Lepisosteus oculatus: one gene and its partners. The protein of the gene in region 1 purifies or fractionates together with the protein of each later gene. This does not show direct contact. Links are inferred from orthologs where the notes say so. Each region holds a gene or a part of one and is shown on either strand. Other genes may lie near its edges.

Region 1 (7,152 bases):
ATAAAATTGATAAACTTATAATTGAGAGATTTTGAGATATTTGTACAGAATTCCATTCTAGCTTGAAATGTAACTCTAGCTATTTTATTTGACATAAAACATTTTTGATTATATTTTGTAAATACATCTGATTTGATTTGATTTACAGCTGTTATAAAAGTAAGATTTCTTACCTAAAGTGGAACCAACTGGAGCAAAGAGGAATATATAATGGAGCTCTGTAACAGCATTGAAAACTGTTCTAAAAGTAAGCACATTGGCAGTAAAATGACATTATTGTTATGGTGATATACTGTAACAAATTAAATCAGAAAATAAACAAAAGAAAGCATTGTACAATAAATTTCTATTTAATTTATTTTACAAATTCTTCTCAGAAGTTATAAATGCAAGAAAGGTTAATTATCGTTACAATCAAAACATCTAATAAAAAATGAGAAGAGAAGATCATACACAATCTAAGTCAGAGTTCTATATAAAATTATTTCCAATTGCCATGTTATTAGTTTAATGTTTCATATTGGCTTGTTTTATTAAAGTATTACCTTACAATCTCTTTTGAACTCCCAATACAGAAGTCGGGCCGTGCCACATAGAGGTGCATAAAAAGTGTGTTCAGTGGCTTAAACAGAAAAAAAATATACAGAAATAAGATCTAAGATACATATAATAATATCAGTATTATTTCTGAATAGCTTATCTCTCATTCGCTTAGTGATGTGCATTTTCTCTACCATGACTAGATCAAGCAGATCCATTGTATACTGGTTGGTACAGTATGTCAAAAAATGAGACCGCACACATCACATTCTACTGGTGCAAATGGCAATGGGAAATGTATGTTATTACATAAGGTGGGGGGGCGAGGTCACTTAACACGTGGCAGCAAACAGCACTCAAAATGCTTCAATTTATACCATGCGATATAAACAGACACTGTCCCCGTCATCTTTGCACATGAGAAATTGTTCTTATGACATATATGGTAAAATAAAGGATGAAAAAGTAATTTTCCTGAAACTTACTTTAAGTGACTTGTTTATGTTCCTGCGCAACCGGGTTGAATTTCTAAGTAGGCTAATACCGATCTCTAAATTCTAAGTAACACGGAGGTTTAAGCAGGTAGGAAACTAAAATGTGATTCAGAAAGAATAAACAAATCAATCCAGAGTGCATTAAAAGAAAACTCTTACCAACACAACATGAATCTGTCATTAACTAAATAGTGCACTACTGCTTCAGCTGCTGCTAATAATACTAGTGCACACAACTGTTGATAATTCGGTGAAATCAATACTTACTGTACATTTATCAATGTTGTAATTGTTGTGTAACCAAGGTTCCCAGCAAGCCTGGTCAACAAGATCCAGATTGGGATAATCTAGGAAGGCAGCATGAGCTATGACTTCATTGTTTGCACTGTTCAGTGTCACTGCAAGGTTAGCCTTCTCCCTAGGTAGACAAAAAAATAAATGAATAATGACCAGTGATGGACTGGGATCCTTATCCAGCCTGAATTCCCGCCTTGTGCTATGCACAATTTCTCTACGACCCTTACCAAGAATAACTGGCTTTTTGATCATGGATGCATGAGTCAATTATGTTCTAGAATGGTACTTATTTATTAGAGACCCTTCTGAATCAAAATGAACCAGAGGAGACAGTTGGAAACAATGCTGAAGCACAATGCTGAAGGCAGTTTTTCTTTTACAAAAGAGGTTGTTGGTGTCTGGAAAAAGCAGTACATCCATACGGCTGAAGCTGATACTCTGGCTTCTTTCATGAAAAGGCCGGATGAGATCCTTGGATGAATTTAGCTAGAAGCAATCAAACGAACTAGAAGGGACAGATGGCCTCCTTTCTTTTATACATAAAAGGAAGCTCCTTATGAAACATCTGGGGAATAATAACCTGTTGGGGATGGCATATGTAAGCCTGCTTAGAATGGTGTGTTCAATGCACCTCAACTCCACTTGTGTGGTCTTCTAAACTTATTAGCCAGTATTGCATCTATCAATCGACCATTGCTAGCACATCAGGAGAAGTTCGGAAGTGCATTTAGCTTACAACATGTGTTGTGTATGACCTTGCTCAGACTCTACGAGAGACAACTTCTTTAACTCTCACCAAAGCTAAACTTAAAACATTCCTTTTTACCAAGGTCTACATCTGATTGCCCTCCATCTGTAAAACCTCTGTATGCTCTTGTCTATTTTTTCCTTCATTTACATTTTATTGGACTTTTTTTTTGCCTTTTTTTATTCACTATGCAGAGCGTCCTTGGATTTCGAAAGGCGCTTCATAAATAGAAGTCGAATCCGAGCTGAAAGAGGTGACTCAGCAGTGATAGATTCTGCACGCCAGACGCTGCAATCGCAGGTCATGTGGGAGCAGATGCACACGCTGACCTCCGAGTCCCGGCCCCGGGTGGAGTTCCTGTAAGAAGCGGGGTAGACGTGGCACCGGGTGAAGAAGGGTTAAATGTAACTGCACCCAGGCTGCGTCCGCAGCAGGCGAAAGGGGGGACTGAAGGATTATTTTTAGATATCTTTTGTATAATAATAATGAATAAACTTCTATATAGTGCCTTTAAAGGTGGCTTCTCAAAGTGTTTTACAGCATGTCAACAACAACAATAAAAAAACACACAAGATAAGCTAGATGAGAATACACAGGTAGAGGAGCCAGTAGATGGTCGTACTGAATACAGTGGGAGCAGAGGGGTAAAGAACAGTTCAACAAAGGCTCTTCTAAAGAAGAAGGTTTTGAGTCTGGATTTGAAGGAGTTTTTGTATGACATAACTGTAACTTGAAGCATTGATGATCACCTTGTACCTACAAAACGTTGCTGACGCTTAAAAACATGTCTTTGTGATTCTGATATAAAAAAATATGCAGACTGCTGACAGCTACCAACCGCTCAAGAAACTATAAGTGTCAGGCAGGAGGAAGGAGGAAGCCGAAGTCGCTCTGCCATCTCAATCGCCGGATGAGGGGGATGTACCGAGATGAGGACGGGGCTACTGAACTGCGGTTTTTGCTCGACTTGTTTGTACCGGGCGATGCTGGAGGAAACCAAGCTTGGGGTAGAGATGCGCAGAGAAAACTTTCTCTCGCGTCGCTGTGCTGTGTATCTTGATTTGAGTACTAAAAAATAAGGACCTGATGTTCGCTTCGCCTCCGTAGTCTGGACTCGGTTCTTTTCACCGAACCTCAGCTGTCCCGCCTTCAACCTCTCCAGGGAAAAGGGTCTCACACGTGTTACATACTGTACCACTCTCACCAACACATGTTAAAAGCAGTCTGTGGACGGTGCATGCGGTTGCAATATTTCTCAACTGAATGACGTAAACGCTGCAGGACTGCTACGACTTTGACATTGGATATAGCGTTGAAAACAAAGTTAAAGACAATAGGTAATCCGATTTACGTTCTCCCCAACTATTTTACTCACAATAGGTAAATGACGTTTAATCTGCCAAACACGTCTTTGGTGGAAGGCAGAATCAGATTACTGATCTCTGGAGCATCCGACGATTCTGCTCGCCTCGCCGTCACAATTTCTTCTTTCCCACCAGAGGAAGTAATGGTCCTCATTGTACCTTAAAGCAAGCAGTCGGGCGGATAAATAAAGCAACTGCACTGGTAGTGAATTTACAGATTTCAAAACTGAGAAACAGCTCTCTTGCGCTACAGAGTTTGAAATCGTGTTCAGACGACAGACAATCGCAAGCACTTTAGAAATGTATATTTACACATTACGAGACCAATAACAATTTAAATGTGCAGTGCCAAAGCGTATTTCACACATACGCATGTACAACTGATTTTATAGAAACATGAGCAGAAACATTTTGATGCTCTCTTTGACATGCATATTAAGAGTGGCGAGTCACATTAAATTCAGCATAGGTTATCCAATGCATTATATGTATATGTACTTAAAAATAATTCTTTCAAATGCAATATTTCTTCAAGAAGACGAGGCTGGGTTACCTTCCTTTAAGATAACTTGCGGGTCCTCTGTGAACATTCAGCAAACAAAACTTCATATCCATGGTGACAGAACGCTCCGTCTCCTTGACTACCAATGACATCATGGGGTGAAAGGTTGGAGGTTACGCACGGCGTACGTCTTTCATGGTGGACCAGTGTGTGGAACCGTAGTTGACTTCTGTTGTTGTTATTACAATATTGTTCTTAAAACTGTGTATTTTTTATTTTATTTCGGATTAGAAGTAACAAGTTGAAAAATGGCTTCTACCGCGGCTGGGAAGCAAAGGATACCGAAAGTGGCTAAGGTAATATTGTACCGTGTGCTGGCGATGTTTGTAAGGCCTTGCGAAAGATAAATTCAACGTGAAAAACATAAATAAAAAGGTTTATATATAAATCAAACGTATCAAAGTTGCATGTCTTATGTAGGTGTAAAGTATATTTGCCCGTGTGGTATAGCTAGGCGCTTATGCCAATTTCATCTCGAGTCAATTAAAAAAAATGCCTTTTGCAATGTACTTTGATACATTTTGAATTCCTCCTTCACAGTGCGATGTGTATTTGCTTGTGCTTTGCTCTATGCGGTATAGCGGTAACGTGGCGTGGCTGAGCTGGAGCTTTTGTCCCGTGTGCAGGTGAAAAACAAGGCCCCCGCCGAGGTGCAGATCACGGCGGAGCAGCTGCTCAGGGAAGCCAAAGAGAGGGAGCTTGAGCTTCTGCCCCCGCCGCCCAAGCAGAAGATCACCGACGAGGAGGAGCTGAATGATTACAAGCTGCGGAAAAGAAAGGTAAGTGCGGAACACAGAGCCCGGCGGCTGTTTTAGACATGTAATAATAATAATAATAATTGCTTACACTTATATAGCGCTTTTCTGGACACTCCACTCAAAGCGCTTTACAGGTAATAGGGTCTCCCCTCCACCACCACCAGTGTGCAGCCCCACCTGGATGATGTGACAGCAGCCATAGTGCACCAGTACGCTCACCACACATCAGCTATCAGTGGGGAGGAGAGCAGAGTGATGAAGCCAGTTTATAGATGGGGATTATTAGGAGGCCATGATTGGTAAGGGCCAATGGGAAATTTGGCCAGGACGCCGGGGTTACACCCCTACTCTTTTTGAGAAACACCCTGGGATTTTTAATGACCACAGAGAGTCAGGACCTCGGTTTTATGTCTCACCCGAAGGACGTTACCTCTTTACAGTCCAGTGTCCCCATTACTAAACTGGGGCATTAGGACCCACGTGGACCGCAGGGTGTGCGCCCCCTGCTGGCCCCACTAACACCTTTTCCAGCAGCAACCTTAGTTTTTCCCAGGATTGTCCCATCCAGGTACTGACCAGGCTCACACCTGCTGAGCTTCAGTGGGCTGCCAGTTGTGAGGTGCAGGGTGATATGGCTGCTGTCTCCGACTTCAGGACCCGAGTCCAGTCATCCTCCGAAATGACCTCCACACGCTCCACGTCCCTTTTGTTAGTTTAAGTACCAAGCGGAGACAAAACTTTACAAGTTTGTGCTGTTGTTGATATTGTGTTTTTACTGTTAAATCAAATTATCATCACTTTTAGATATTGGAATCTGCAATATAATATTTTACACCAGTTCCTTTATTTCCTACAGTTCTTCTATCTTATATTTCTAGTCTATCATGTATTTCTATCACATTGGTGGTGGTGGAGGGGAGTCCCCATTACCTGTAAAGTGGAGAGTCCAGTAAAGCGCTATATAACTGTGCGCTATTATTATTATTATTATTATTTCTAGTTATTGGTGATTGTAAGAAGTTGCCTGACTTTTGCAACCATGATGATCATTAAAACCATCGTAGCTGTACTGCTCTCAGATGGCCCAACCATTTGAAGTAATATGAACTTGAAAAGGGGAGAATTAAATATTTTTACACCCTTCTGTTTAATGTTTTTTTTAATATTTGTATTCAACTGTATAAAATTCAGGTTGCTCAGTTGAACAATAATCGTGTGAGTTTAAAAAGCACAAAAGTGCATATGATGAAAGTACACTCATCTGAGCTTTCTCCGTGATACTTTGTTTTTGTCTATTCAAAGGGATTTGAAGACAACATCCGAAAAAATCGCACTGTCATCAGTAACTGGATAAAGTATGCACAATGGGAGGAGAGCCTGAAGGAAGTTCAGAGGTAATATTTATTTCTTAATGTTCTAGATGAAATGTAAGAGGAGAGAATATTATAAAAAATACCTGTCCACCCAGATTCTGAATTGTGATTACAATAGGGCCAAATAACTTGGAAAGCCACAGATTTAATGAAATGCTTTTAGAAAAGAGAGAGTTTATTTTGTCATGTGTATATATACATTGGGATTCTTGTTTGTGCTGTTCTTTCTGAAGGTGTACAGTAAAATAGGCCATGCCACACAATGTGCGCAGTACATTTAGCCCACAGCCATATCACCCTGCAACTCACAACTGGCAGCCCACTGAAGCTCAGCAGGTGTGAGCCTGGTCAGTACCTGGATGGGAGACCTCCTGGGAAAAACTAAGGTTGCTGCTGGAAGAGGTGTTAGTGGGGCCAGCAGGGGGCACTCACCCTGTGGTCTATGTGTGTCCTATGTGTGTCCTAATGCCCCAGTATAGTGACGGGGACAATATACTGTAAAAAGGGTCTGTCCTTCTGATGAGACACAAAACCAAGGTCCTGACTCTCTGTGGTCATTTAAAAAACCCCGGGTGCTTCTCGAAAAGAGTTGAGTGTTATCCCAGTGCCCTGGCCAAATTTCCCAATCATGGCCTCGTAATAATCCCTATCTATGAACTGGCTTCATTGCTCTGTTCTCCTCCCCACTGATATCTGGTGTGTGGTGAGTGTACTGGGGCAATATGGTTGCCATTGCATCATCCAGGTGGGGCTGGATGGGAGTCCACATTAGCTGTCGAGTGCTTTGTGTGGAGTGTCCAGAAAAGTGCTATGTAAGTGTAAAGAATTATTATTACGGAGGCCTGCAGGATCATTAATGATCTAACTGAACTAATTAAAGGCTTAATTGGAACAGTGCAAGAGACTCCCTGTTCTCCAAGTGCTACTGATTTAAGGCATAAAACCTGCAGGAATTCAGCCCTTCAGGATCCAAGTTGGAAACTCCTACTCTAGTCTAATAGAAAACCAGAAATAAG
Region 2 (7,486 bases), on another chromosome or scaffold:
CAGCACATTCAGGAGAGGCTGTAGGAACATGGTGGAGGACTGGACAGTGTTGATAAGAACGGAAGAGCATTGCAGTGCCAGCCTGCAGAGTGAAGGGCCATGCCCGTGCAGTAGGCGCTCCGGTCCTGATGCTGCTGCCTCCCTCTGTCTCCCCAGGTGATGCTGGAGGAAGGGAGGTCCAAGGGCTTCGGGTTCGTGTGCTTCTCCTCCCCGGAGGAGGCCACCAAGGCCGTGACGGAGATGAACGGGCGCATCGTGGGCTCCAAGCCGCTGTACGTGGCGCTGGCTCAGCGCAAGGAGGAGCGCAAGGCTCACCTCACCAACCAGTACATGCAGCGCATCGCCGGCATGAGGGCCATGCCCGCCAATGCCATCATCAACCAGTTCCAGCCCGCCGGCGGCTACTTCATGCCCGCCGTGCCACAGGTGCGGGGGAGAACGGGGGTGAAATGAAGCGTGGGGGTGTTTGTGCCCCCCGCGAGCTGGGGAAAGGTCACGTCTGCTTTACCTGTGTGTCTTTCTTCCAGGCCCAGAACCGAGCGACGTACTACGCGCCAAATCAGCTGACACAGATGAGGCCCAACCCACGCTGGCAGCAGCAGGGGGGCCGACCACAGGGTGAGGAGCTCTGAGCCCCCGGGGGTGAGGGGTGGGCGGGAGTGAAAGAGGAAATGGACTGTCCCGTTTTTCAGAGGGGTGGTGACCATGTGAAGCTTGAATCCTTTTGTGCTGGAAGCACCAATACATCTGCGATGCCATCGATTTTAACTGCACGTACTTTAAACAGGATAAGCAAGAGAATGCATACTGTCTGCCAGTTCACCTAATTTCCCTGCTCAAGCTCTTATCATAAATACTCCTGGGTGAGCAGAGACGCAGAGAGCTCCTTCCCTTCATCTCCTCCCCCTCTGTCCTTCCCCCTGCAGGTGGCTTTCAGGCAATGCCTGGCGCCCTGCGTCAGAGCGGGCCCCGTGCCAACCTGCGGCACCTGGCGCCCGGTTCCAGCACGCAAGGCCCCCGGGGAATCCCAGCTGGGGCGCAGAGAATGGGTAAGGAAGAGGGAAGTGCAGAAAGGGAGGATTAAAACTACGGAGCTGTGTGAGGCCTAAAAAGGTCACTTGCATTTGTCAGTTGTTGTTTTCTGATGGAAAATGAGGTCTCGGGTCAGACCTGCACTCTGGGACTGAGCTCTCGCTCTCCTGCTCTTGCTGTGTGTTTGTAGGAGGGGCTGGTCAGACCATGGGCCCCCGTCCCTCCGTGGCAGTGCCAACGCCAAGGGCCGTCCCACCCTACAAATACGCCACCAGTGTGCGCAACCCCCCGCCCCAGGTGATGCAGCCCCTCTCCCTGCAGCAGGTACGGACGGCTTCTCGGGCTCCGCTGGGGATAGACGCAGGAGGTAGTCAGCACCTACTGGTGTCGGAGGTGCCTGTCCCACACGCTCTCTCTGCCTTCCTCAGACCCAGCCGGCGGTGCACGTCCAGGGACAGGAGCCCCTCACCGCCTCGATGCTGGCCGCCGCCCCCCCACAGGAGCAGAAGCAGATGCTGGGTGATTACGAGACGCCATTGAGTGTCTTCTCACCCTCAGTGTCCTTATCGGTGCAGGAGCAGTTCCCACTTGCTGGTCGATTGGTCAGCAGCTTGGATCCAAAAAAGATGTTTAGGGATAGCTTAGTACTGAGGAGGAAGAGTTTGCTGTTCTCATCTTCTCAGCTTCATTCTCAGCTTCTCATGGATGGAGGATTCCCTCACCTCTCCCTGCTTGGGAGAAGTCAATTTCCTGTCATCCTTACTCACCTCTCATTTTCAACAAAATTACCAAAACGGGATTTTGATCAAATGTTGCACTGTATGTTACTTGCCCTTGTGTCATGATGCCTTCTGTGTGGAGCATAAGTCTGTAGAACCTACTGCTAGGGCTGACCATAAATCAGAGGTAGGGTGATTTAAAACAGGTGATTCTTAGACTGGATGCTACTTTTGAACATTATAAAATAATAATAAATCAGGCGCAATAACACAAACATTAAAAAACTAGGTCTAAGGAGATCACATTTCACCCTCTTCTTCTCCTGACTCTCCTTTACTTCCTCTCTCTCAATCCAGGGGAGCGCCTGTTCCCCCTGATCCAGGCCATGCACCCCAGCCTGGCTGGGAAGATCACCGGAATGCTGCTGGAGATCGATAACTCAGAGCTGCTGCACATGCTGGAGTCCCATGAGTCCCTGCGCTCCAAGGTACGCGGCCGGCTCCACGCAGGGAAACTCAGCCGATGGATTACACTGATCATCCCAGGGGATCCCTGTACGTCTTTACCGACAGGATGGGAAAGCCTTCCGCAACCCGCCCACCTGGGTGACACACTGCTGCCCAACTGCACAGCAGGGCAGGTGGAGAAGCCAGGGACTGCTCTGCCACCTGGGGTAACAGGGAGTTTGTAGTAGGCTAGATCGTACAACTGGGATTTAACCATGGCGCTGAATCTCAGGGTCAGTGTCAGGGGCTCTTTTAAGAGTCACGTAGTTGGGACCTCGGTTTTAACATGTCATCCAATAGGACAACATCTGCTCTAGCAGAGTGTCTCCAGTCATACTGGGGCGGTGGTTTCATGAATTGTGATCCAAAGGGAAGAATCACCTGCTGGACCTCGAATCCCACATGCAGGAGCAATCTAGTTTTTCACCAGGGGTTTTCCCATTCTGGTCCTGCCAAAGCTGTAGTTTCCGAGATCAGAGGAGTTCAGGCTAGAAGGTGGCAGCATCCATTGCAGATACGTGGTCTTGAGTCTTATAAGCACTGTATTGCAATAATGACTGTTTGTCAGTGATTCAGGATCACTCATTCTTTAATAAAAGAGTCCTGGGGTCCCTTCCATGTGCTGAACGGCTGTACGAGCCCATTCCATCAAGACGGGGAAGCTGAATTGCATGCAGCCGTACAGCTGTGTGTTGTCCAGTCTTGTGTCTTGTTGTAATTGAATTATATTGCATTGCACTGCAATGACTCAGGTTGAAGAGGCCGTTGCTGTGCTCCAGGCTCACCAGGCAAAGAAGGACGCTGCGCAGAAGGTGGGGGTCATCACCACGGCTGCGACCTCCTGACGGGTAAGGGTGGCTGTGGCCGTGGAGGCTCTGCTCGGTGCCAGACTGCAGAAACCGCAACTTGGGGGGCTTCGCACCCCTCCGCTGAAGAAGAGCGACAGATCAGACGTGCTTGGCTGGTTCTTTCCTACTTTATGACAGAAGCAGATCTGCAATCTTTTCACTAGGCATTTTGTGCACCTCCCAGTATTGCCCTGGAAGCCTTCTCTGAACAGTGCTTCCCCCTATTGGCCATCACACCTAACAGCCACACCGCTGTTCTGTCTTTGGGACATTTTCCACGTTGTCCCAAACCTGCATCCTTCAAAGCAGGGGGCATCAAAACCTGTGCAAGGGCTTTTAAAATTTCCAGCGACTGCGTCTGTTATCCTGGGGCTTGCTGTGGTTTGTGCTACACTGTGACATACCATGCCTCTTACCACTCAGCTATACTTCACTCTGCTTTTGCTGTGGTACAGCATCTGATCTGATCTGATCGATACAGGAGGCAGCGGAAGATGTGCTGCGTGGTGGGGGTGGGTGGGGGGGGGGGGGGGGTGACATGTGCTTACAGAAGGGACATGGGGGGCTTTTTTCCAGGAAAGGGGAATAAAGGTTTCTTTCATTTTCCAGGCTTTTTCAAGAACTAGACCCAAAGAAGAGGGATCCAGTGGTCTTCGCTGTCGCATTTACCTGGTTCTTCCTGTAAACTGAATGCAAAAATAAAACCATACTTGAACAACTTAAAAAAAACATATAATTACAATTCTTTTAAATTATATTTTAGTAATTAATAAATGAAATATATATATATTTAAATTATATAAGTACAAGCTGAAAGGGGGATTTGTTTTTAACAAATACTATACTTGAACTGTTTGTTTCTTGTGGCCAGGACTGTTTTTTTTTCTCTCCCTGGGGAAAAAAACTTTTGACTGCAGGCTTTTGAGTTGTGGTGATTTGATTGGGATGGTTGAAACCTCCGACCCCTGTAATCCCTGGATGGTGTGACTTTCTCAATAAAGGATGAAACATTGATGAACTTGCCCCTGGGTGTGTCTCTATCCTTACCCTCTCGTTCCCTTCTTGTTCGCCTCGTCTTATCCTCTTGTTAGAGGGCAACACCAGTTTTTCCACGGGAACCGTAAAATGCATCTTTTTTTAAAACAGTTTGAAGCGGACAAACAAATCCCACAGTACTGAAATTCATCCAGCGACACAACCTACTTGATGTCTTTTTAGCCGCCAATCTTCAGCGGTCATATAGGCTCAAAACAAAAACTACGGCAATTTAAAAATGGGTGTAATTTCTGCCTAACACTGAACTCGGACGCGCACAATCTCACGGATCTATACTGAACCACGTGTGGGACTTACTGCCGCACGGAACGGACATCTGAAGGAGTTGCACAGGAAAGGGCGGGGTTTATGTTGGGTCAAAGGGCACAGTGAAGATGGCGGCCGCCAAGCGTGTGCTGTATGTTGGTAAGTTGTTTAAAAAACTGCTTTTGTGAATTGTATGAAGAAATAAGAAAGTTTGAATGACATTTTACTGCTCTGTAAGATACGGTTCTTTCTTTGTCTTAGTCTTGAAGATTAGGTTTCAATAAGTGTTAATGGTTTCTTGGTGAACTCATTCCTTGATCCCCAATGCCCATCTCACCATAGTGTCTTTTGATAAACACTTTGTTTTTAATTTAAAGGATGAATTGCAAAAGCATGCCGTGCATTTAAAAAAATAGCCCTGGCTGGCAGCGGTACCTCTAGCAGATTCAAACGATGAGCGGGACAATGACGTAATTAAAGCGACAGATTACAGTTGCACTTTACTATGTTTTGTGAAAAGCTTGACCACCACATGCGTATCCCTTAAATGTCGATTGTTTTTATTCTGAATGGTTTATTTCTGTTCAGTTTTAGTCTTTTGCTGTTTGAGACGCTTGTCAGCCCCGATTTAAGTTGACATATTGGGAAAACACCGACTTGATGGTTGCACCCAGGCACTATTTGAAGTCCTTTGAGTACTCTTGTGGACTATTGTATGAGTTGATGATCACGCCCAACTTGTCTACTTCTCAGAAAGCAATATGATAGAAACAAGTGTTAGCTTAACAGACGTTTGCTTAAATTGATGTTTTGTTAAAATGATTGGTAAGTCGAGATAAAAGTGAGTGAAAGGATATAGTAAAACTGGTAAATGTTTTGTGTGGATGTATAGTTATACTGTATACTGTTTTTGAGTAGCTAAGTCTGAAACACACATTTAGTCTCACTTCTGTTCTACAACCTCCTTTTATTTCATTGATTCTCATGGAAAAAGCCCCTGTGTGCTAGCTCACATGGGCAAAAATCCTAACCTCCACGTTTACCTTGTTCTTGCGTTGTTCTACTGGGGAGCAATCCCCCTATATATCCCATTAGGTCCCTAATGCCGGCGTCACACTACGTGACTTTTCCTAGGATTTTCAGTTGTAGCCTTCATGTACACGATCGGAAGAAACTCACAGCGAGTTGTAGAGTCGCAGTGTGCGCCCGTTACCGTCAGCTGTGTAGTGTGACACCCCCAGCGACTCAGTCATAGCGCTCTTAACAGCCCCCACCACTCTCTGCAACTCGCTACGATAAAATCACACCGTTTGATTTTCTGGTAGCGAGTCGCAAGTCGTAGTGTTGTGCAGTGAGCCAGGTGTGTACTCGTGAGATAATGTGCCCATTATATTACACGTTCTAGCGCAATACTAATTTGTTTACACTATTTGTTTTAAAGGTGTTTTATATTTTTAACTGTTTTATTTTTGTAAATTCGTTCTATATTTATAAAGAAGAATGATATTTTTGAAGGGGTCTATTTGTGGAAAACAATGCCTGTGTCACCCTTGTCAGGATGTTTCCGTGCTCGTCCTCCATGTTGTTTGTTTACTTTCGCGCGGCGCTCCTCCTCCTATTCCAGTGTGCTCTACGTTGATGGGCTGCCAAAACGAGGGGACCCCACGGTACTTTTGCGGTGCAACACGAGATTTGAAACTGTGATGAAACGTCGTGAGGGAATCGTGTAATTAGTCACCCCCTGCTTTTCCTAGTCGTATAATTTGACGCCCTCTAGGACAGAAAAGGCAGCGAGATTCAGCAGCTGCAGTCGTTAAATTTGACATGCTCTCTGACTAGAAGTCCGTATAGGCCTGTAGTGTGATGCCGACGTGCGGCGGGGACCCTTTACTGACGCTTGGGGATCGCCTTGGTCACGTGTGAGTCTCCCTGTCTCGCAGGTGGCCTCGCGGAGGAGGTGGACGAGAAGGTTCTGCACGCGGCGTTCATTCCCTTTGGCGACATCACCGACATCCAGATCCCTCTGGACTATGAGACAGGTTAACACACACGCTGCGAAAAATGGTTTCCCACATGTCTTGCAGAAAACGATAGGGCCGCCAAAAATTAACTGTCCAGCCTTGGAAGTAGTCTGACAGCAGTGTTGCCATTACTATAGTCAAAGGACTATCAGTTTGGTGCTAAAGGTGGTTCTGGCTGAGCAGGAGGTGCCACTCTTCCATCTGGACCAGTTTCCTAACCAAAGCTCCACACAGGTGACTGGACCTCCCCTGCTTTAGCAGGTGCCACACTTCAGATGAGATGTGAAGACCCGGTCCTTACTGCTTTGTCTTTAAAGCATGAAAGAATAGAGGTGTTCTCTACAATATCAAAGCTAAATTGCATTTGGGTTTGAATGATTTGGGTTCCCTAAAGTTCCTTTTTATTGGTTTTCCAAATAGAAACTGTGTTGAAGTCGATGCAGGTTTCTTTCATGGAACAACTGGATTTAGTCACGGGATCAGTAAGCTTCTGACTACCAAGCAGGCTAGATGGACCAAACGGCACCCTTTCGCTTGCAAACTTTGTGTTATTGTGAAATGTTGTCTGTTCTTTTAATACCTGTACTGCTCTCTGTTTGCAGAAAAGCACAGAGGATTTGCATTTATTGAGTTTGAGCTGGCTGAGGTGAGTGTTGTCTCTTGTGAGGGTCTGACTTCTTCCTAAAAACGTTAACAATTTAACTCGTAGTTGTAGTGTCTAATGTAATATCAAATATCCATCACCTCATCGTAAAAGTATCTAATGATCTTCCTGTACTTTAGAATGTTTACTCAAAAACACATTCTGATTTGTTGACTCTTCAACCTGTCTACAAAATAGTGGAGATAGTTTGGAGAGCCGCTGAATGGATCTCTCATCTGAAGTGGGTGCAGTGCAGTGATTGGCCTGTCTCTGCAGTGTCTCATTGCTTAGCTCTACAATCCTGGTCCTGGAGAGCTCCTGCAGCCTTAACAGGCATCACTAAATGCTCAGTGAGCAGAGGTTTGGACTACCCATTAAACAACTGATTGTGTCAAGCAGAAGACATTGCAGCTA
Region 3 (7,551 bases), on another chromosome or scaffold:
TATGAGAATGAACACTCTGGATTCACTCGCACAAAAACTCCCCAAGACTGTTTTTTAGACTCTGGAGTTTTCTCACATCTGTAAAGAAAAACTCAAATCCCATCCCACGCCTTCACTGTGGGAAAAGATTTTCTGCATTAGCATTCATTGATGTCCCTCTCAGGTCTGGATTTAGATATCATGTCTCTCGTGCTCTCTTATTCCTTGTGGTCTTGGATAAAACAGAAATGAAAGCCTTGTGTTTTTCCAGTCCAAGATTAACCACCCCAGCACAAGGTCTTTCTCAAGGACAGGGCTCTCTGGCAGAGCAAACAGGAGTGCTGATATTTCATCCATGACACAAAACCAGAATCAACACACATACAGTACCTCCAGCTACCATCACAGCCTAAATGTGACTGCTGTTCCCTCTGGTCCTTTGGGCCATCTGACTACTGGCTGCGAAGAACACCTAAAAGAGTTTAATAAATGATGGAGGCAAGAGGTTGGGCCATTCAGGACAGCCTGACAGTGTGGCAGCTGAAAAGGTTGATGATAGGCGAGTTTCATCAAGCTGTGGTTTGAAAGATAGCAAATGCTTCTGTCTCTGCAACAGCAACCAATTTGATCCACCACGGAAAGCAGAACACAGAGACAAGGCGGTGAGTACTGTGTGGGGGCTGGACACCAAGACTTGTCGCCTGTATCCCCCCAGGAATTTCTTTTCTTTGTTTCTAAGCAACTGTCTTGGCCATTGTCACAGAGCGCAGACCACCACATCACGTTTACACCTATTTATACCAATAAGAAATACCAATGAGAAAATTAAGATTCCCAAATTCCCCCAAAATTCAGCATTGCCTTAGACTAGTGTCACTACAAACAGATTGGAGGAAGGCATAAAGTAAAAAAGTGTTGTGAAGAAAGCTTTCTGGATGTTAGTTCAGTATTCCCCTTTAATATTTTAAATGTTGCTTTCTCAAGAAATGTGACACAAACTGAGAGTGGTGAGGTGAACTCATTCAGAGAGGCATAACATTTATAATCTGCTAGTCTCCTAGCCCAGGGTAATACGTGAGTTTTATCTGCCATTGGACCAAGTTTAATTCAGCGTTTCAAACACAGTGGACCCTGCCACTTCTGCAATTCTCAAATGTAAATTGAAAGATTGCTGGATAGTGATACCAGCAGTAGAATTAATGACCTACATGCTCTGTCTTTATGTGTAAGACATAGAGTTTTTTGTTACAGCAGTATATTGGTCACTTGGCCAATACGATGCAAAAAGTGAACCTCCAGGCAGCTGTATTGCCATGGCAATGCCCTAGATTACTCACCAAGCCCAGTGTGGTACACTAAGGCCTCTCTATATCTGTGTGTATGCAGCAGTCAGATTGGCATGGAGACGCAATGGAATCTGACACACAGTACAATCTGGATCACTCTGTGCCAGTGCAGGTGCAGGACATTTCTTGGTCTATAAATTGGGAGGGGGTGGAGGCAGTTCTTTCTGTTTCAGCGTTGCTCTAGACTACAGTCATGATATGAAGGCGGCAGGAAGGCCTAAAGGTGTGATGTCTTAAGGCACCACCTGACCCTTTGTATGTGTGATTTTAATGTTCTGAGTTAGCACTGGTGCTGGCACTAGCAGTTTGTGAGATTCCTCTATGGTAAATTAAATGTGGAATTCAATGCACACGGTAGCTCTTATGTGACATTTTAGGAGTTTACATCCTTTTCCATATGGAACTGCAGAAACCAGAGCTAGAATAAAGTATGTATTTTTGCAGAACTGCATACACTGGGGTTACATACTTATGGATTAGAAGGGCATGGCATCCGAGGATGACATTTGTGTTATCATGGTCAAGAAGGCCACATAGAGCAGGTCATACAGACATATTGTCACACCAAGCCAGGAGAAAGCCATTGTCATGGCCTGAGAGTTTGCAGTGGGATTCTGGGGGCCAGCAGCGAGAAAGAAATGAGAGACAGAAAGAAAGCAAGACTTAAAGTTAGAGACAAAACTGAAGAATTACACAATGCTGACGTTCAACACCTCTCCCTGACATTACTGAAACCCAGCCTAATGCAGGCCCTTTAGCAGTGGAAAGAATGGAGTATCGAGCACCACACTGAGTGCTTCTATTTATAAAGTCTCTAATGTTTTAAGTGAGTCTTGGTATTTCATTTAAAGCAGCAGCCACTGTTCCAGTGAGTGACCTTGTCCTGCCCTGTGGGGGTCATCAGTTTCAGGAAACAGCAATAACAATGTTGTCTCACCAAGCGCACCGTTTACTGAAGGAAACATCACGCCTCCCTGAGACAATTAGCTGGCAAACACCCCTTCTGTGTGAGCGATCCTTTCGCTAGCATTTCTTTGTTAACTCAAGTGGGGGAAAAACATGTCCAAAGCACAGCTTGGAAAAGATTAATGCACTGAATGAGTTTTCAAGGTTTGTTGAAGTGAAGTCATTCACACTGTAAACAATCCCACAATCACACAAGAAGCAACACTTCACCTGTTGTGCAGTAAGCCTTTCCTTTGTGCCCTTTTAGCTCCCCTGTGAGCAATTCAGATGCTGCAACAGTCATTTTAGCACATGCAGAACCACTCTGTAACTTCAAATTCATACACTTGAAAAAAGAGAGGAATCGGTCGATTTTCTCACAGAACTCCACCACCTGTTGTAAAACTAACAACTTTTTTCATTAACCTTTATATTGGGTCCAGTGTGATGCGCTGGAGAAATTCTGAATGTTGTGAATTCTGAATGTTGTGGCTGTTCTGCTTGCCTTTTTTCATCACAATTGGATTATTGGATCAGAAAAATGCTGTCACCACTGCCCCTCCAAGTTCTGACACCCGAAAAAGGCTCCACAGCTTTTCTTCTCTTTTCAGCATGGATTAGACCTTTATTTGTTCCTTTGCAGCCTACGCGTTGTTGCAGCTACCTACTTGAACCACTCCATGTTCTGTTTGGTTGAACATCATGCAAACAAAATTGTAAAAAAATAAAATAAAATGATAATAATAATTTATTATAATTAATTGCATATATTATTATTGTTGTTGTTGTTGTTGTTGTTGTTGTTTAAAGTTTCCAAGTTCCTAACTTCCCAGCACATTGCAAACTTGACAATCAAACTTTCTGGTGTTTGTAAGTTCATGATAGCCCAGGCCAGTTTGTCTGTGGGTACAGAAGGTAGGGGTGTGTTCTGCACACTTGGTTTGTTTGAAGGCTCTTTCTGTTTTGCTCCTGCTGCCCACTTCCTAATTCTGTTCTGATCTCTGTCCTGCACCATAACTGTTTTTCCTCTTCCATCTTCTCTGCTGAGCTATGCCTCTCTGTCCTTCCTTTGTCAGACGTCTCCACTGGCTGTAGGTTTACCATCATCCCTAATGTTTTCCTCTCTCTGTCTTGCCCTCTGTCCCATCATCACTCATCATGCTTCTGCACCTTGTGTCTCATCCCACTGCTGTATCCAGCCTTCCAGTCCTTTGTGTTCAAGGACAACTGTTGGTCTGATCTCCTAGACTCTACCTGCTGGTGATGCTCCTCAGGCCTCTTGGTTTTAAATGAAAACAGAGTGTTCTGATGTTTTGGATCATTAACTTGGCTGTTATACCTTGGATCCCTTCACCACTCATTAACATTCTGTTTTAGACAAAACTATTAGTTATATTTTCCTTCTGCTTTAATTTGAGGGTGGTTTAGCACAGTGGACTTGTAATTGGTGTGCTGTTGGTTTGAGTCCCCACTGCAATCACTGTTGTTGTACCTCTGAGTCTGGGATTTTACCCCCAGTTGCCTCAGTCCACCCAGCTGTATGAATGGGGACTGACATTGCTGGGGGTAATCCTTGCCAGTGACTGGCCTCCCATTCAGAGTTATGAAGTCTCTATATAGCCAAAGAGAGCAGGATAAATTCAGGCCTGATAAGCCGTAGGGTTAGGATTTGGAAATTATGGTCTATAATGATTTGGGAACATTCAGTATGAAATGTTTGAAGTTTTGCTTGTAGACCTGAAACATATGTGAACATAAACATATGTAAACATATGTACGTACACATTGGATGTGCTCTTTGTATGAACATGTAAATACGTAATAAATCTGTTTAACTTTATTTCTAAATAGCTTCTAATAGCTGATGTGTGGTGAGCATTCTGGCACACTATGGCTGTCGTTGCATCATCCAGGTGGGGCTGCACATTGGTGGTGGTGGAGGGGAGTTCCCATTACCTGTAAAGTGCTTTGAGTGGAGTGTCCAGAAAAGAGCTATATAAGTGTAAGCAATTATTATTATTATTATTATTATTATTATTATTATTATTAAATATTTTGTGATTTCTGATTTGTGTAAACATTAATGCAAATGAGCTTATTTTACTATTTTTTGTTAGATATCACTTTATACCTGTCATAAACCGTTTGGGAATAAAAAATATATTCAATCTTGTTGCAGCTAATATTCAACGGGCTCTTGATGGATCGACTAGCTCGGCGATTAGCAGGAGTGCCTGTATCGACGCAATCTATTGCGACAGGTTTGGCTTTCGGTGTAGAGAATTGTGGGAAGATGGCGACAGTCGTGGGTTCTTTGGAAGAGCAGGCGCTGAAGAGGAAAGAGAGACTAAAGGCGATTAGGAATAAGCAATTTCAGGTAAGACTTCAAGCAGAGACAAAACGAGTGAAAGAGAATTGGTCGGTTGATTATTTGGGTCCGTCCATGGCTGGAGACCTGCTGATCTGGACAAATCCTAAAGATACACAAGACTCATCCACCGCCAGCTAGCTTTTCCACTACAACGTGTGCCGTTAATTCAGTTTGCGCTGCTCACAGTACCGACCCTTTTAGATACTAGGCCACTCATTCATAGTATTGTAAGTAATCTGAGCATTGATCTAACTAGAACGTGTTTTAAATGAGCAGTCACTAAATATGTTTGGGCAATAATAATATGTTTGCTAGAACTAGCTCGACATGAAAGCGTTTAAGAACGACGAGTTTAACATTCAATAAGCTTGTTCGTGGTCTGAATTGTCTTCTAACGATTATTGTACCGATATAATTTGCTTTTTGCGGAGTTGGTACTGTATTAGTAAGAGATTGCCACAGGAATGCGAGGTCCAGTTCAGAGGGCAGATAAAGAACGTCATAGCTCAGCAGGTCTTACATTATTTTACAATGTAAAATAAGACATTATTTTACTTACAGTCTGCAATTTCACTCACGGGATCAATAAAGTATCTATATATTTTAGATTGCGTCGAGGATACTTCTTACACCACTATAGCTAGCTGCTGCTTGTCTGTTAATCATTGACTCAAGGCTTTCAGCTAGAGTCGAGCTGACTGCATATTTCGCTTCACTGAAAGATGAATGACATGCAAGAGAGAGTAAAGAGGAACACTTCGTGAAGCAGTCTGGAACAAGTTCTGGTAGAAAACTAATGAAGAAAGCATTTTATCCCAGGTATCCCCATTTCAGATTCCATCAGGTGGCTTTTAGGAATCAACATTCACTCAGTCAAAACCTTCCCAAGCAAGTCAGCAACAGAAAAAAAAACTCAAGTAGATAGAGAACATGATAATCCAGATTAAAAATTGTAGTTGCACTGAGAACAAAAGTTGTGAAATTTCCAGTTTAGTGCAAAGCCAGGGGTGTATTAATCTGCATAAAAAGCAGTAGTGGTTAATGCCGATTCAATTCTTTTTGGCACAAGCTTCCCACTTCAGTTTTTTTATATGCATGACTTCTAATTTGTACCTTGTGCTGTCTGTCTTGTAACAATGTGCATCTTATGAAGAAAATTTTGCTGCCAGTTTTCTCACTTTCTTTGTTTAATTTGTAGCTCTAAGCATTTTTGTGGGACTTTGGACAAGAATTTCAATATCTCAAAACTATGCTGGTGTATACAGTTTTGTGAAAAAGTATTTATTTTTTTAAGCGTTTTTGCCACTTCATATGATCAGAGATTTATAGGGGTTTTAGTGATGTAAAAAGGGAGTCTAAGTGAACTAATATTGCCAACATAATATCACCAACATATGATGCCTGTATCATTTATTTAGTACCATCTAACATCCAGTGCCCCTGTGAGAAAGAGTTAATTAGGCTCTTAGGCTCAGTACCTGGTTCTGCCACTTAGAGCTGCAATAACTGCAACCAAACACTTCCTGTAAGTAGTAATCAGTCTCTCTTATTGCTGTGTATGGAATGCAGTTTGTTTTGTTTTTTTGTCAGACATAACCCCTTTTCACGGATCTGTTCATAGACTGTTCCTCCAGAAAACTTGAGGGTCATCCTGGTGCTTTTTGGCAAATTTAAAATGAGTATCAATGCAATTGGCAAGCAATGGTTTCGCCTGTGCCATGCTCCCATGAAACTGTTCTTACCCAGTGCTCTTCTGATGATTGAATCATGAACACTGACTTTAGCCAAGGTTACGGTGGCTTGTAGATCCCTGGATGTTGTCCTGGGGTTCTTTGTGACCTCCTGGGCTATTTTACTCTGTGCTCTTGGAGTGATTTTGGCCAGATGGAAACTCTTGGGAATATTCGCTATTGACCTAAATCTTCTGTATTTCGGGACCATGCTTCTGGCTGGTTCGGTGGAGCCACAGAGTTTTACAAAAGGTTTTGCAGTGTTTTCCAGACTGATAAGCATGAATGATTTTTTCAGGAAAATCTTTTGAGCGGGGCGGGATGTGCCTCCAGGTTTTGTGTGGTGAGAACTTGACTGTGAAGATTAGAGGCAAAGATTGTGAGATTTCTGTAGAGCTATAGAGATAAATCAACCCTGATTGTGTAATACAATATTTATCATATATCCAGGTAAATATATTTTAATGCTTTTCAAGCTTACCTTGTACGAACAGTTCTTACAGACTGGATTCAAGGTGCAGTATTTCTAATGCGGGTGGCCTAGAGAGGTGTAACCTATGTCAGAAGTAGGTGGGCACTCTGGATGAAGTTAAAGTGCTGAAGCACACATGGCTATGTTAGCCCACTCTAGGTCTTTCCATTACACAGCAGGTTGCTTAGATGTCACCTGAGATCAGTTTGCTTGCGCAGGTTTTTCAGTGGAAGTGCACAGAGGAAACCCGGGCAATGCTGTGTTTGGAATAACCCCGCCCCTGACACTCCTGGGACAGACTCCCTACACACGTGTGAATGCGTAATAAAATGTCTCCAACAGCTGTTCTTCTGACTGTGTCTGTTGGGCAATCAAGGAAAAAGAACCTTGTGCAGAGATTCCTGTTTAATAAGCTCCAAGATCTGTAGATTAGAAAACGTTGGCATTTTCGCTTGTGCCAGAAGATTGGTAATGAGCCAGCTGCCTTCCTTTGTGAACTCGAGGTTAATGCCACAGATGCTTGTGTGAGCATGCTTATGTGCACAGTTTGGGTTTATTGTTATTTTGGCTTCTGTTCACTGAAGCTGAGGGTTTTCCGCTCTGCGAGCATTGCCCTGACTTTTAGGAACACCAGAGGCTTTTGCATTGTTATATCAAAACGAGGGAACAGCTTAGTTTTTCCAGGAAAAGCCGAGGAAGCTAGCATCC

The links.
Region 2: the proteins of crnkl1 (region 1) and ppie purify together in Homo sapiens (affinity purification with mass spectrometry; 3 studies listed by BioGRID and IntAct, counting the BioPlex papers as one, with this or other methods). This does not show direct contact. The link is inferred for Lepisosteus oculatus from reciprocal best matches to the Homo sapiens genes CRNKL1 and PPIE.
Region 3: the proteins of crnkl1 (region 1) and ccdc12 purify together in Homo sapiens (co-immunoprecipitation; 3 studies listed by BioGRID and IntAct, with this or other methods). This does not show direct contact. The link is inferred for Lepisosteus oculatus from reciprocal best matches to the Homo sapiens genes CRNKL1 and CCDC12.

Annotation. Positions count from the first base shown.
Region 1 is NC_090697.1:9,759,847-9,766,998, reverse strand, and holds the start of crnkl1 (crooked neck-like protein 1), read left to right. Parts: upstream 1-4,141; 5' UTR 4,142-4,253; coding exon 4,254-4,301; intron 4,302-4,631; coding exon 4,632-4,784; intron 4,785-6,065; coding exon 6,066-6,157; intron 6,158-7,152. Other genes in the region: cfap61 (cilia- and flagella-associated protein 61), read right to left, coding at 174-241, 546-622, 1,302-1,452, 3,455-3,602, 3,997-4,033. UniProt on the Homo sapiens protein: Involved in pre-mRNA splicing process. As a component of the minor spliceosome, involved in the splicing of U12-type introns in pre-mRNAs.
Region 2 is NC_090706.1:2,459,965-2,467,450, forward strand, and holds the start of ppie (peptidyl-prolyl cis-trans isomerase E), read left to right. Parts: upstream 1-4,473; 5' UTR 4,474-4,536; coding exon 4,537-4,567; intron 4,568-6,348; coding exon 6,349-6,447; intron 6,448-7,031; coding exon 7,032-7,075; intron 7,076-7,486. Other genes in the region: pabpc4 (polyadenylate-binding protein 4), read left to right, coding at 157-426, 528-618, 927-1,049, 1,223-1,356, 1,461-1,551, 2,109-2,239, 3,011-3,103. UniProt on the Homo sapiens protein: Involved in pre-mRNA splicing as component of the spliceosome. Combines RNA-binding and PPIase activities.
Region 3 is NC_090705.1:22,377,339-22,384,889, reverse strand, and holds the start of ccdc12 (coiled-coil domain-containing protein 12), read left to right. Parts: upstream 1-4,538; 5' UTR 4,539-4,563; coding exon 4,564-4,647; intron 4,648-7,551.